Linked DNA regions of Sus scrofa. Each later gene encodes a partner of the first gene's protein in a complex. Links are inferred from orthologs where the notes say so. Each region holds a gene or a part of one and is shown in the gene's direction. Other genes may lie near its edges. The genes, in order: EID3, NSMCE1 and NSMCE2.

Region 1 (3,882 bases):
GGGGCGGGGGCTGTTGGGAGGCGGGGCGACCTGGGGGCGGGGCCTCTGGGCCGTCCCTAGCGCGCATGGGCGGACGTCCTCCTCCGCTCTGTCTGACCCCTTCGATTTTCCGCCGTTGTCCTAAACGTTGCCGGGGCGTCATCTGAGCCATCAGTTCCCGAAATGTCTGATGAAAGAGATTCCCTGAGGTGGGGGGACAGAGAGAAAGGAGAGGAGCCGGTTGTGACCGTCACCCGCAGTGCGTACTCTGGCAGGCAGGCGCAGGAGGAGGAGGGGGAGGCAGGGGCTGATGCCTTCTCTGACGACCTCAGCCTTGGGGAGGCCGACATTGACCCAAGCCTCCTGGAGCTTGTGGACGAGGAGAAATGCCGGAGTATCCGCAAGCAGTACCGGCAGCTCATCTATAACGTCCAGCAGAACCGTGATGACATAGTGAACACGGCGAGCGACTCCTTAACCGAGGCTCTCGAGGAAGCCAATGTCCTGTTTGATGCAGTGAGTCGAACAAGAGAAGCCGCGCTTGATGCGCAGTTTCTTGTTTTGGCTTCTGATTTGGGTAAAGAAAAAGCAAAGCAGCTAAACTCTGATATGAGCTTTTTTAATCAAGTAGCATTTTGTGACTTTCTGTTTATATTTGTGGGTCTAAACTGGATGGAAGATGATGGACGTGATGTATTGAATGACTGTGATGATAATATAGCTTTTTCCTTCTGGGAGACAGTGCAAAAGGAAGCAACATCGTGGATATTGCAAGCTGAAACATTCCACTTTATTTTTGGTTCATTCAAATCAGAGCCTTCTTCTCGAAAGCCCCGACTTGAAAACCGGAAAAAAGTTCACAAGATGGAAGAAAATGGGGACATGCCTACAAAGCTGAGGAAGCTGGACCTGAGTAGTAATCAAGAAGCGACAGAAAAAGAAGTAGAAAGAATCTTGGGATTGTTGCAAACATACTTTAGAAAGTATCCTGATACTCCCGTGTCCTATTTTGAGTTTGTGATTGATCCAAATTCTTTTTCTCGTACTGTGGAGAATATATTTTATGTTTCTTTCATTATAAGGGATGGTTTTGCAAGAATAAGGCTTGACCAAGACAGGCTGCCAATATTAGAGCCAATTAATATGAACCAAGTGGGTGAGGGAAATGATCCCAGTTCCCATGGCAGGAAACAAGGGGTTATATCTTTGAGTTTACAGGACTGGAAAAATATTGTGGCAACTTTTGAAATTTCAGAGGCTATGATCACAAACTCATACTGAAGATAACTTGCTCTTAGAATGTATTTTGTGGCTTTTCTAAAGCATATCAAAACGGCTAATAAAATCCAAACAAAACACACATTGTATCTCTTGTAAAGTGAAAAAGTATTATCAATAACATCAGAAGTTGTGTACTGTGCAATGTGTTTTTCTTGGTATTTATAGAATTGTCATGATTTTCTGCTAACTAAAGAAATTCACTAGCATGTTTGTGGAAACTTTTTTTTTTTTTTTTGACTGTTCCTTAAGACCTTATTAAGAGAAGTTCTGAATTTTTTAAATTAAAAGGTGTTTGACAATTGCAAAAACTTAGTTATGAGGCTCTGTGATACTGCATTGCTTCCTCTGCTACAGGGAATCAAGGGAATTCCATATAGGCTCTTAACCAGGTTGAGGGAAAGAGTGGGTGAAAAAAAATGGTCTGGAAAGACTATCTGTAGGGCAGTGCATAAATACTGTAAAAAAATTCAGATGCCGTGCCTCATTGCAAAGAGGACTCAGCAAATTAGCAGGGATATCCAGATTCTAAAGAATTTCTCCTGTGATTGGACTCAGCGGAAGTAGAATATCTCTACTATAGTAGGTGAGGCATTAACTAAGTGCTGAGAGATGAGTAGAAATTGGTCAAAGATAGGAAAAGTATTCTAGCAGGGAAATATGGAGGCCAAATACATGGAATTGTAAGATGTTACGGTATCAGAAAGATTTATAAGCTTTTTCTGAACACTGTTCCATTTGAATGTTATATTGGGCAAAAATTGATTTACTTCATTCATCTGTTAATATCCTCAGAGGTTGAAGATCTCTGTCAGATTATTTCACACGCAAACTATTTTAACATCCATTTACAATCTCTATCTACTTAAATTCTTCTCTGGCTTCTCATTTTTCCCTTGTAATTTATGTTAGTACACAGTGATTCTGCTAGTATCTCAGAATCAGTGATGTTTCATTATGTTGCAGCCTTGAAATGTTTGTTACCATTTCAACTTTGTATTTCTCAATAGGGCTTTAAATGCCTGGAAATTGTCCTTGTTTAAATTTAAATATATGACTAATTTATCCAAATATTCTTCACTTCTTATAAAGTCAAAAGGCTTTATGTTGTTGCTTATAATTATTTTAAGAATATAAATTGCATTGTTATTTGGAGGCTACTGTTAGAAATTTGGGTCTTTAAGAAAACAATTTTTGAGTTCCCGTCGTGGCTCATCAGTTAGCGAAGCCGACTAGAATCCATGGGTTCGATTCCTGACCTCGCTCAGTGAGTTAAGGATCCGGTGTTGCCGTGAGCTGTGGTGTAGGTCGCAGAAGTGGCTCAGATCTGATGTGGCTGTGGCTGGCATAGGCTGGTAGCTACAGTTTCGATTGGACCCTAGCCTGAGAACCTCCATATGCCATGGGTGCAGCCCTAAAAGACAAAAAAAAAGACCAAAAAAAAAAAAAAAAAGCAATTTTTGAAGGTGCTGTGAGCATGCTTGTAAGCTTTTCTTGATCTCTAGAAACTTAATCTTGGGTCGTAGTGGGTCTTGCCATTAAACCGTATTTAGTAAGTGGGTAAGTATCTGCTTTGTTTAGCAGTAATGATAAACTTTACTGCCACGTCTCATGTAGTAAGGGAAGGGAAATCAAAAGGCTAAATGAATGACATTGAGATTGAGAGGTTCTTTAGTCTTAGTGGAGGGTTTTAGCAAACATAGGAATTTCTCCTGAGACATGGCCTATTATTTTCTAAACTAGTCGTTCCTTTCCCTTTTTTCATGTGAAGGGGTCCTCTCCCTTCCCAGTACCTACCACCCTTTGATCTAGCAGCTGTGGAGGCCTCATTTCGTCTGGCTGATTCTTCCTTTAGTGTGTCTTCCAGCCGCCCCCTTAGGTTTTCCAGAGCTTTGCTGTTTGGGGGAAAGATCTCGACGGGAGCAGAAAGATCTTGCCTCAGGTCTGCTCACCACCGGATGACTCTTTAAACACCAGGTGTCTTGACCAGGAGTGTTTGCGACTTGATGATTGAAAGCACATTGCGTAGCAGAGAACGGGGAGGCTTGTGAAGGAGGGCATCTTTGGGTCTCCTCTAAAGTTACAGCAGAAATAGAATTTTTTTTTTTTTTTTTTTTTTTTTTTTTTTTGCTATTTCTTGGGCCGCTCCCGCGGCATATGGAGGTTCCCAGGCTAGGGGTCGAATTGGAGCTGTAGCCACTGGCCTACACCAGAGCCACAGCAACGCAGGATCCGAGCCGCGTCTGCAACCTACACCACAGCTCATGGCAACGCCGGATCGTTAACCCACTGAGCAAGGGCAGGGACCGAACCCGCAACCTCATGGTTCCTAGTTGGATTCGTTAACCACTGCGCCACGACGGGAACTCCCCAGAAATAGAATTTAAGTTAAACACTTGTTTCTGTTTTTAACTGGTTGTCATGACACCTGGATTGCCTCATCACTTGGAAATTAAGCCACTACTTACCTTGAAGAAAAAAGGAAAATTGACCAATAGATAATTCATTTTTAGAGATTAGGTAAGAACCAAACTCAAGTCTGCTGGTTTCCCAGTAGTACAGTTAGAGTGATTTAAATTTCATAGGTTCAATAAAGTCAGCTGAACTTTGGGAGAATAATACGGA
Region 2 (4,293 bases), on another chromosome or scaffold:
TCAATCTGCTAGCATCTTCCCAGCCCCTTTATTCTGCAGAATGGCAGTTCACGAATCTATGGAGAAAACAGAGAAGCCTGGGTTGCACAGATTCTGAGTTTAAGAACCAGGTTTCAAATCCAGACGGTCTAGTTATGGAATTCAAGCTTTTAGCCACCACTCTGCTTCTTACCCCCCTCAGCAGGTGAGGTCCAGAGAGGTTGAGATATTGTCCAAGATCACAGGAATGGTAACCAGCCAAGTAAGGACTTAAAGCTATCATCACAGAGATTGATACTTGTACTTTCTACTGGTCTATAATAAGTCACCCGTTACCTGTGGCCCCTGCTAGTCTGTTCAGCCAGCTCTCAGACTAGGGACTGGAATACAAACGTCGTAAAGTGTCCTGGAGACTCCGAACAGTTCGCTCACGTCTGTTAATTGCATTTACTTCTCACAACAAACCTTATGTAAGAAAGCAGTAAACATTTAATCAGTACTTCCATGTGTGTTTAAAAGACTTCAAAACAGGAGTTCCCATCCTGGCGCTGTGGAAACGAATCTGACTAGGAACCATGAGGTTGCAGGTTCGATCCCTGGCCTCGCTCAGTGGCTTAAAGATCCCCCGCTGTGGTGTAGGTTGCAGACGCCGCTTGGATATGCCGTTGCTGTGGCTCTGGCATAGGCCGGCAGACAGGTCCGATTAGACCGCTAGCCTGGGACTCTCCATATGCCGCGGGTGCGGCCCTAAAAAGACCAAAAAAAAAAAAAAAAAAAAAAAGAAAAAGAAAAAAAGACAAAACAACCTTCGAAATACATTATTTCATAGGGACTATTATTATTTCGCTTTTTAGTCCCCGCCCCGCCCCGCCCCGCCCCCGCATCATAGCAGAGCTGTAACCGCTGGTCTATGCCATAGCCACACTAACCCGGGATCTGAGCTGCATCTGCCACCTACACCACAGCTCATGCAACCGGGATCCTTAACCCACTGAGCAAGGGCAGGGATGGAACCTGTGTCCTCATGGATACTAGTCAGATTCAGGTCTGCTGAGCTACAGGGGATTCCCCCATAGGGACTATTATTGTTATTCCAACTGAGCAAGGGCAGGGATCGAACCTGCAACTTCACGGTTCCTAGTCGGATTCGTCAACCACTGCGCCACGACGGGAACTCCCAGAAGCCTCGTTCTTGATGGTGAAGTGGCTCTGTCAGTTCTATAAATGGAGAAACTGAGGCACTAAGCTGTGCCCACGGAATCGGTCACACTAAGGCTCCATTCTTGGTCTTCCTCTTTTCACCGCGTGGGGGGTAGCTGCCGGGCAGGAGGCGGAGGACGAAAAGCGGAAGCCCTTTCCAGTAAGGTGCAGGGCGTGACCCGCGTGGGATGCGCTTACCCCTGCCCTAACTGGCGGATTCCCCGGCACCATGGCAACGGGAGAACAGGAAGTGCGTCACCTGATGGGAGGAGCGAATCTGCAAGAACCACCAATGGTAGTGCCCCGACTGCTTTCGCCCCGCCCCGAAGGAGGGGCCGAGCCCACCTTTTTGCTAACGCCGCCGGCAGTGTGGGCTGCGCTTGGGCGCCGCGGTGGGTAATCGGGCCGCGGGGGCGCGAGGCTGACGGGGAAGGAAGAGAGTTGTCCGGGAAGGCGAGGGGCGGGCGGCAGGTGGGGGTCAGGCCCCGGGGGTCGGCCCGATGCTGTGTCGCAGTGTGGCCTCGGGGGCCGGGGGGCCGCGGTTTCTCATTTCCTGATGGGGAAACTGAGGCCCTGAGAGGGGCTGCAGAGGCAGGTAAACCGGAACCTAGTCCCTCACCCACAGACATTTTAAAATCGTAATATTAGGTAATTTACATCCTAATATTAGCTGAGAAAGCATTAGAATTCTCTCTAAACTGAATACGTAAAATACGGCTTTCGTTGACTACCCTGTCAGGCTCACCGACTCTGGGCTTCTCTTTTTGGGGTCCACAACTTCTTTGTACAAGTCCACAGCCCCTTATTTTAAAGCTCCGAGGCTAGATGTGTTCACAATCCCGAATTTCTAGGATTCTCGAAAGGTAATTTGGGGCATATATTATATGTCCTGTCCTATCTTCCTTGGGGTCTCCGGCAGCGTCTTGTCATCAGATACATTACTTTTTTTTCACAGCTGAATAGATGCATATTCCCAGTAAGAAGGTAAACAACAAGCATGAATAGTCTCACCTGAAGCCAGATGGGGTTTTCAAACTTAAAGGATTTGTTTTTGAGAACTTTTTAGATTTAAGCGTTGCACGTAAAACCTGGAATCATAATTTTGTTGATCCACTCATATTTTGCCCTTGTTTGTACTGGGGGTGTGGCAGTTTCTAACCATGCTTTTGTATGGTCACTCCCTGTCTCCATCACTAACTCTGTGTGGCCTTGTGCCCTCTCAGCCTCTGTTTCCTCATCTGAAAAATGGGGTCAGTAATGCTTTCCTCATAAGGTTCTGGGGAGGATTAAATAGGACTGTGCACAGGAAGCATGCACATATATATCTCGCTCTTGGCACAGATGGTTCTATTTGAGGTTTGCTTGTTCTGCAGACATTCTATTTTTAAATGATTTGGGTACCTAGGAGTTCCCCTGGTGGCTCAGCAGGTTAAGAACCAGACCAGCGAAGATGCAGGTTCAATTCCTGGCCTTGCTCAGTGGTTTAAGGATCCAGCATTGTGTAGGTCGTAGGTACGGCGCGGACCCAGTGTGGCTGTGGCTGTGGTGTAGGCCTCAGCTGCAGCTCTGATTCGACCCCTACCTGGGAATGTCCATATGCCACGAGTGTGGCTGTAAAAAAAATGAATAAAATAATAATTTGGGTAGGTAATACATGCTCATGGCTAGCCCATCTCCCCTTCATAGAGACAACTGGTTTCTATGCATAAACAAGTCTATAGATTATCTTTCCACTTAATTTTCCCACCCCTTCCCCCCAAATTATAGCATTCTTTACCTCCGTCCTCTTAGTAAAATTTATTTTGGCTGTTACTTAACGTATTTTACATCATTTTCTTCTTTTTACAATTAGGATAAGTAATATGCCCATAGAAATGTGTGATGTAAATTTAAAGAACAAAACTACAGTGAATACCCGTCCACCCACCACCCAGTTAAGAAATAGGACATTTCATATCCTCAAAGCCTCCACTGAAATAGAACTTTTAAGAAATAGAACAGTATTGTATCCTCAAAGCCACCATTGGATCCTTTTCTCCCCTCCCCAAAAGATAACCACTGCCCTGAATATCATGTTATCCTTCCTTTATTTTTCTATGTAATTTTTAGTATCTGTGTCTCTCGCGTGAATGCAGGGCACAGTCTTGCTCATTGGGAGATTGGAGTTTATGTAAATGGGTTCTTTTGGGGGCGGGGGGTGGTGGTGGGCACTCACAGCAGGTGGAAGTTCCCAGGCCCCAGGATCCATGTAAATGGGACCTGAATATATTTTGTGTGACTTGATTTTCGCACATGATGTTATGTTTCTGAGATGCATCCATGTTCCTGTGAGTAGCTCTGCATCGTTTTTTTGTTTTTTTTGTTTTTTTTTTTCCACCATATTATAAATGCCTTATGTAGGTGATTTTCCATTGATTGACACTCGTACTGTTGCCTGATCTTTGTTACTACATTGCGCTTCGTAAACATACTTCTTGGGGTAAATGCGGGTGTTTCCGTGAAGTATGTACCTAACAGTGGATTTCTGGGGAGATGCAGATGTGCTAGGAATGTCCAATGGATGTCTGAAGGGGTTCTAAGACTTACTATTCGACCAGCAGTTGATGAACGTCTCAGCCTTGTCCTTCTTAAGAAGCTGTGCCTGTTTGGTGATGGGCGTGGCGACACTGAGAATCTCTTTCTGTGTTTCTTAGTCCTTCGTTCATTCTCTTGGTGACATTTCTCTTACTCCTTTTCCTCGTGCAGTTGTCTTCCCCTTACCGATTTGTGAGAGTTCTTGGTATAATCTGAATATGGATCAGATTATGTGGATCGTGGCTTCACTGTGTTTCACATACCTTCCAGGTTGGGCTTGGCTTCTCTGTCTCTTTGTCTGTCGCCTCCCCTTGCTGTGTGTTTGGTGAGCAGCAGTTCTTCATTTTAACAGTTGGGTTTATCATTGTGTCGTTTTATGGTTTGCACTTTTCATATCCTTTAAAGAAGTCCTTCCCCACCTGTGGGTCATAAAGATATACTCCGGTGTTGTCTGGGAAGTTTTATAGTGTCTCCTTTCTTATGACTTTTTATCCTTAAGAATTGATCTGTGTGCATCATATGACCTAAGGGTCTAGTTTT
Region 3 (3,648 bases), on another chromosome or scaffold:
CCTTACAACAATGCTGTGAGATAGATGTGATCAACTCCTTTTCACATGGGTGCAAACCGAAGATAGAGAAGTTAAGTACCTCAGCCACAGCAATTCATTTTTAGGTGATGTGGACAAGATGGAATTTCAAGGCATTTCTGTCCAGGGTCCATTCACTTAAACCCTATTCTGCATTGCTGCTCACAGTATTGTAATGATTAAGTTGATGATAATATTTGCTCTCATTATTTTTTTCTTTTTTCGTCTTTTTAGGGCTGCACCCGAGGCATGTGGAGTTTCCCAGGCCAGGGGGCTAATCTGAGTTGTAACCACCAGCCTACGCCACAGCCACAGCAACATGGGATTCAAGCCGTGTCTGCGACCTACACCACAGCTCATGGCCGGATCCTTAACCCACTGAGCAAGGCCAGGGATCGAAGCTGCAACCTCATGGTTCCTAGTCGGATTCGTTAACCACTGAGCCATGACGGGAACTCCTGTTTTCTCTCATTTTAAAAGATTATGTGCCAGGTGTTATTATGAGCGTTTTGTTTTACATATGAACTTAATCCCTGTGATCTCTGAAGTTGGCCCTGGATCATCCTCATTTTGCAGAGAGAAAAAGTGAAGCATTTGAGAGGTTAAAAAATTTTCCTGAAGTCATTCAGCTACTTAAGTGGCAAAATCAGGCTTTGAACTCATGCAGTTTGGCTCCAGAGGCTCATTTTTAACCCCTACCAGAGTTTTCAGTAGTTAACCTCTACAAGTATTGCCTCCATATTCTACTCCATAATGTAACTAATATTTAATATAAATGTTTCATGCTATTTTTAAATGGAGTTAATATTCTAGGAAGATATGTCTTGATCATACTGTGGCATTATTCCCCCTTCCTTACCCCCTCGTTCGTGTGTGTGTGTCTGTCTGTCTGTCTGTAGTACACTTTGATAAGTGTGTTCCTGGAAGTGTGCTGTCCAGTGCAGTAGCCACTGGGCCTATGTAGCTATTTAAATTTTTTTGATTTTGTCTTATTTTAATACAGTAGAGCATTGACAAGAATAATAGATAACTTATTTGATAAGTTTGGTTTTATAAAATATTTGTTGAACAGAGATGCTCTGAATAGAGGCAAAAAAGTAGGTAAAAACTATTAGTGAAATATTTACATATATCTATTTCAAAAATTCAAATAGAAAATATTCTCCATTTAGAAGTATGAGTTCTGAGCTTACCAGGTTCCCTTGCACCTGTAGTGTTTCACAATTTGAAAAAAAAACATGGTCTTCAGAAAAGTCATTTGAAGGTATTAACAGTTTCAAATTTCTAAGCATGAATTCATGAAATGTCTGTATGGAGGCTAAGAAAATACCTTTTTTCCTGCTGCCATACAGCCTTCCCCCAGTAAATTCTCTCCATTTTTCTGCTTGGTTTCAGTGGACTGAATTTCACATAGTTTCTGAATTAAGCACCGATGTTTTTTGTAGAGAGCTTCATCTAAGTAGTCCAAAGCTTAAAGAGTTGGTGGTTAAACATATAGATTAGGGAGTATTTTAATCTGAAGGTAATAGCTAAAACTATTACTGTGGATGAGCTACCAGAAGATAAGAATACAGGCAAATTTTGTTTTTTTTTTTTTTCTGAAACAGAATCTGGAATCTCACCAAGTCTGTAAATCTGTTAGAACCCAGAGAAACTGTTAGGAGTAAAAGTTTTTTTTTTTTTTTTTTTAAATAGTGTTCGGAATTCAATATGCATGTGTGTCAGATAAGTTAAAAATTACAGATTTTCAAAATCCTCCCTTATTAAGCAATTTTATTGCTATCATTTTCATTTTTTTTTTTTAGGAAAATGCATCATATGAGCAGTCTACTTTTTCTGACCCATTTATGTTTTATGTTTTTATAAGCTGTGCTGTTGTTGAATTTTCAGAAACTTGAGGAAACTTTTGGAAGAGAATATTCTCCCTCCTTTAAAAAATGATGGCAGTTACCTCCCTCACAACAGAAGTGAATCTGTTGTGTTTGGCAGCCAAGATAATGGCACGGTTATTTGATATCCTTTCAAGAGATGTAGAATGTAGACAATGGTATTAGCACCTGTGGGATATTGGATGCATACATATGGATGTTTACAGCAGTTCTGTTTTCCTGTGCAGTTATTATCCTTGTTCATAAATTTCATTTCATTGTGTTTGAACACCTAGGTAATAATTTCAAGATGCCAGGGCGTGCCAGTTCCAGTTCAGGTTCGACTGGTTTCATATCCTTCAGCGGCATAGAATCTGCTCTGTCCTCCTTGAAAAACTTCCAGACCTGCATCAGCTCTGGAATGGACACAGCTTCTAGTGTTGCTTTGGACCTTGTGGAAACTCAGAGTAAGTCATAATTAAAACTTAGTTCATTTGTGTCTACTCCGAGGTCACCCTGTGTGGTGGCATTGCTTTAGGGATGTGAGCTACTGCTCACCTTTTGAGTAACCTTTGGACAGTCATTGAATCCCTCTGGGCATCTGTTTTCTCATCTTGTGCTATGTTCTACATAGTGATGTACTGAGGATGAGATAAGATTAACTCATTTGTATATGTTTAAACCCTTATGTACCACTAGAAAGGACACTAGAGGAGTTCCCGTCGTGGCGCAGTGGTTAACGAATCCGACTAGGAACCATGAGGTTGCGGGTTCGGTCCCTGCCCTTGCTCAGTGGGTTAAGGGTCCGGTGTTGCCGTGAGCTGTGGTGTAGGTCGCAGACGCGGCTCGGATCCCTCGTTGCTGTGGGTCTGGCGTAGGCCGGTGGCTACAGCTCCGATTCGACCCCTAGCCTGGGAACCTCCATATGCCGTGGGAGCGGCCCAAGAAATAGCAAAAAAGACAAAAAAAAAAAAAAAAAAAAAAGGACACTAGAAATTTATGGGCTCAAACATGAAGGTTTCTGACCTCATGGAGCATACAGTCAAAAGTATGTGACATTTATGAACTGTGCCATAGAGAGCATTGCGATTGTTATTTTTTCAGTTATTTAACTGTATTTTGTTCATATTTGCATACTTGATAGACTGAGCTGATGTTGGGGGTACCAGTAAAGGGAGGCCTCTACAAAAAATGAGGAAAGTTCAGTTTTGCTGAACTTGATCAAAATTTTTTGATCAGAGTATCTAGAAAAATGTTATTTGCTTTGTTTGGATTAGAGTTGTTTAGTTTTTTGTTTTTAAAAGGCCTCACCTGCGATATATGAAAGTTCCCAGGCTAGGAGTTCGAATAAGAGCTGCAGCTGCTGGCCTGTGCCGAAGCCATAGCAATGCCGAACGGAGCAGCTTTCAACAACGCTGGATTCTTAACCCACTGAGTGAGGTCAGGTATCATACTTGCATCTTTGCGGACACTCTATCGAGTTCCTGACCCACTGAGACATGAAAGGAACTCCTGTTTTTATGTATGTATGTATGTATTTATTTATTTATTTAGTCTTTTTCTAGGGCCAGTCCTGTGGCACATGGAGGCTCCCAGGCTAGGGGTCTAATTGGAGCTGTAGCTGTGGCCTATGCCAGAGCTCACGGTATGCCGGATCCCAGACCCACTGAGCAAGGCCAGGGATCAAACCCGAAACCTCATGGTTCCTAGTTGGATTCATTAACCACTGAGCCACAACAGGAACTCCTGAACTCCTGTTTTT

What was found.
Region 2: EID3 (region 1) and NSMCE1 share a complex: the UniProt entries of both Homo sapiens proteins name them as parts of the SMC5-SMC6 complex. The link is inferred for Sus scrofa from reciprocal best matches to the Homo sapiens genes EID3 and NSMCE1.
Region 3: EID3 (region 1) and NSMCE2 share a complex: the UniProt entries of both Homo sapiens proteins name them as parts of the SMC5-SMC6 complex. The link is inferred for Sus scrofa from reciprocal best matches to the Homo sapiens genes EID3 and NSMCE2.

Annotation. Positions count from the first base shown.
Region 1 is NC_010447.5:80,220,804-80,224,685, reverse strand, and holds the end of EID3 (EP300-interacting inhibitor of differentiation 3), read left to right. Parts: 5' UTR 1-162; coding exon 163-1,260; 3' UTR 1,261-3,352; downstream 3,353-3,882. UniProt on the Homo sapiens protein: Tissue-specific component of the SMC5-SMC6 complex, a complex involved in repair of DNA double-strand breaks by homologous recombination.
Region 2 is NC_010445.4:19,608,328-19,612,620, forward strand, and holds the start of NSMCE1 (non-structural maintenance of chromosomes element 1 homolog), read left to right. Parts: upstream 1-1,468; 5' UTR 1,469-1,471; coding exon 1,472-1,571; intron 1,572-1,577; exon of another isoform or gene 1,578-1,774; intron 1,775-1,805; exon of another isoform or gene 1,806-2,042; intron 2,043-2,138; exon of another isoform or gene 2,139-2,163; intron 2,164-4,293. UniProt on the Homo sapiens protein: RING-type zinc finger-containing E3 ubiquitin ligase that assembles with melanoma antigen protein (MAGE) to catalyze the direct transfer of ubiquitin from E2 ubiquitin-conjugating enzyme to a specific substrate.
Region 3 is NC_010446.5:14,591,556-14,595,203, reverse strand, and holds part of NSMCE2 (E3 SUMO-protein ligase NSE2), read left to right. Parts: intron 1-2,182; 5' UTR 2,183-2,196; coding exon 2,197-2,353; intron 2,354-3,648. UniProt on the Homo sapiens protein: E3 SUMO-protein ligase component of the SMC5-SMC6 complex, a complex involved in DNA double-strand break repair by homologous recombination. Is not be required for the stability of the complex.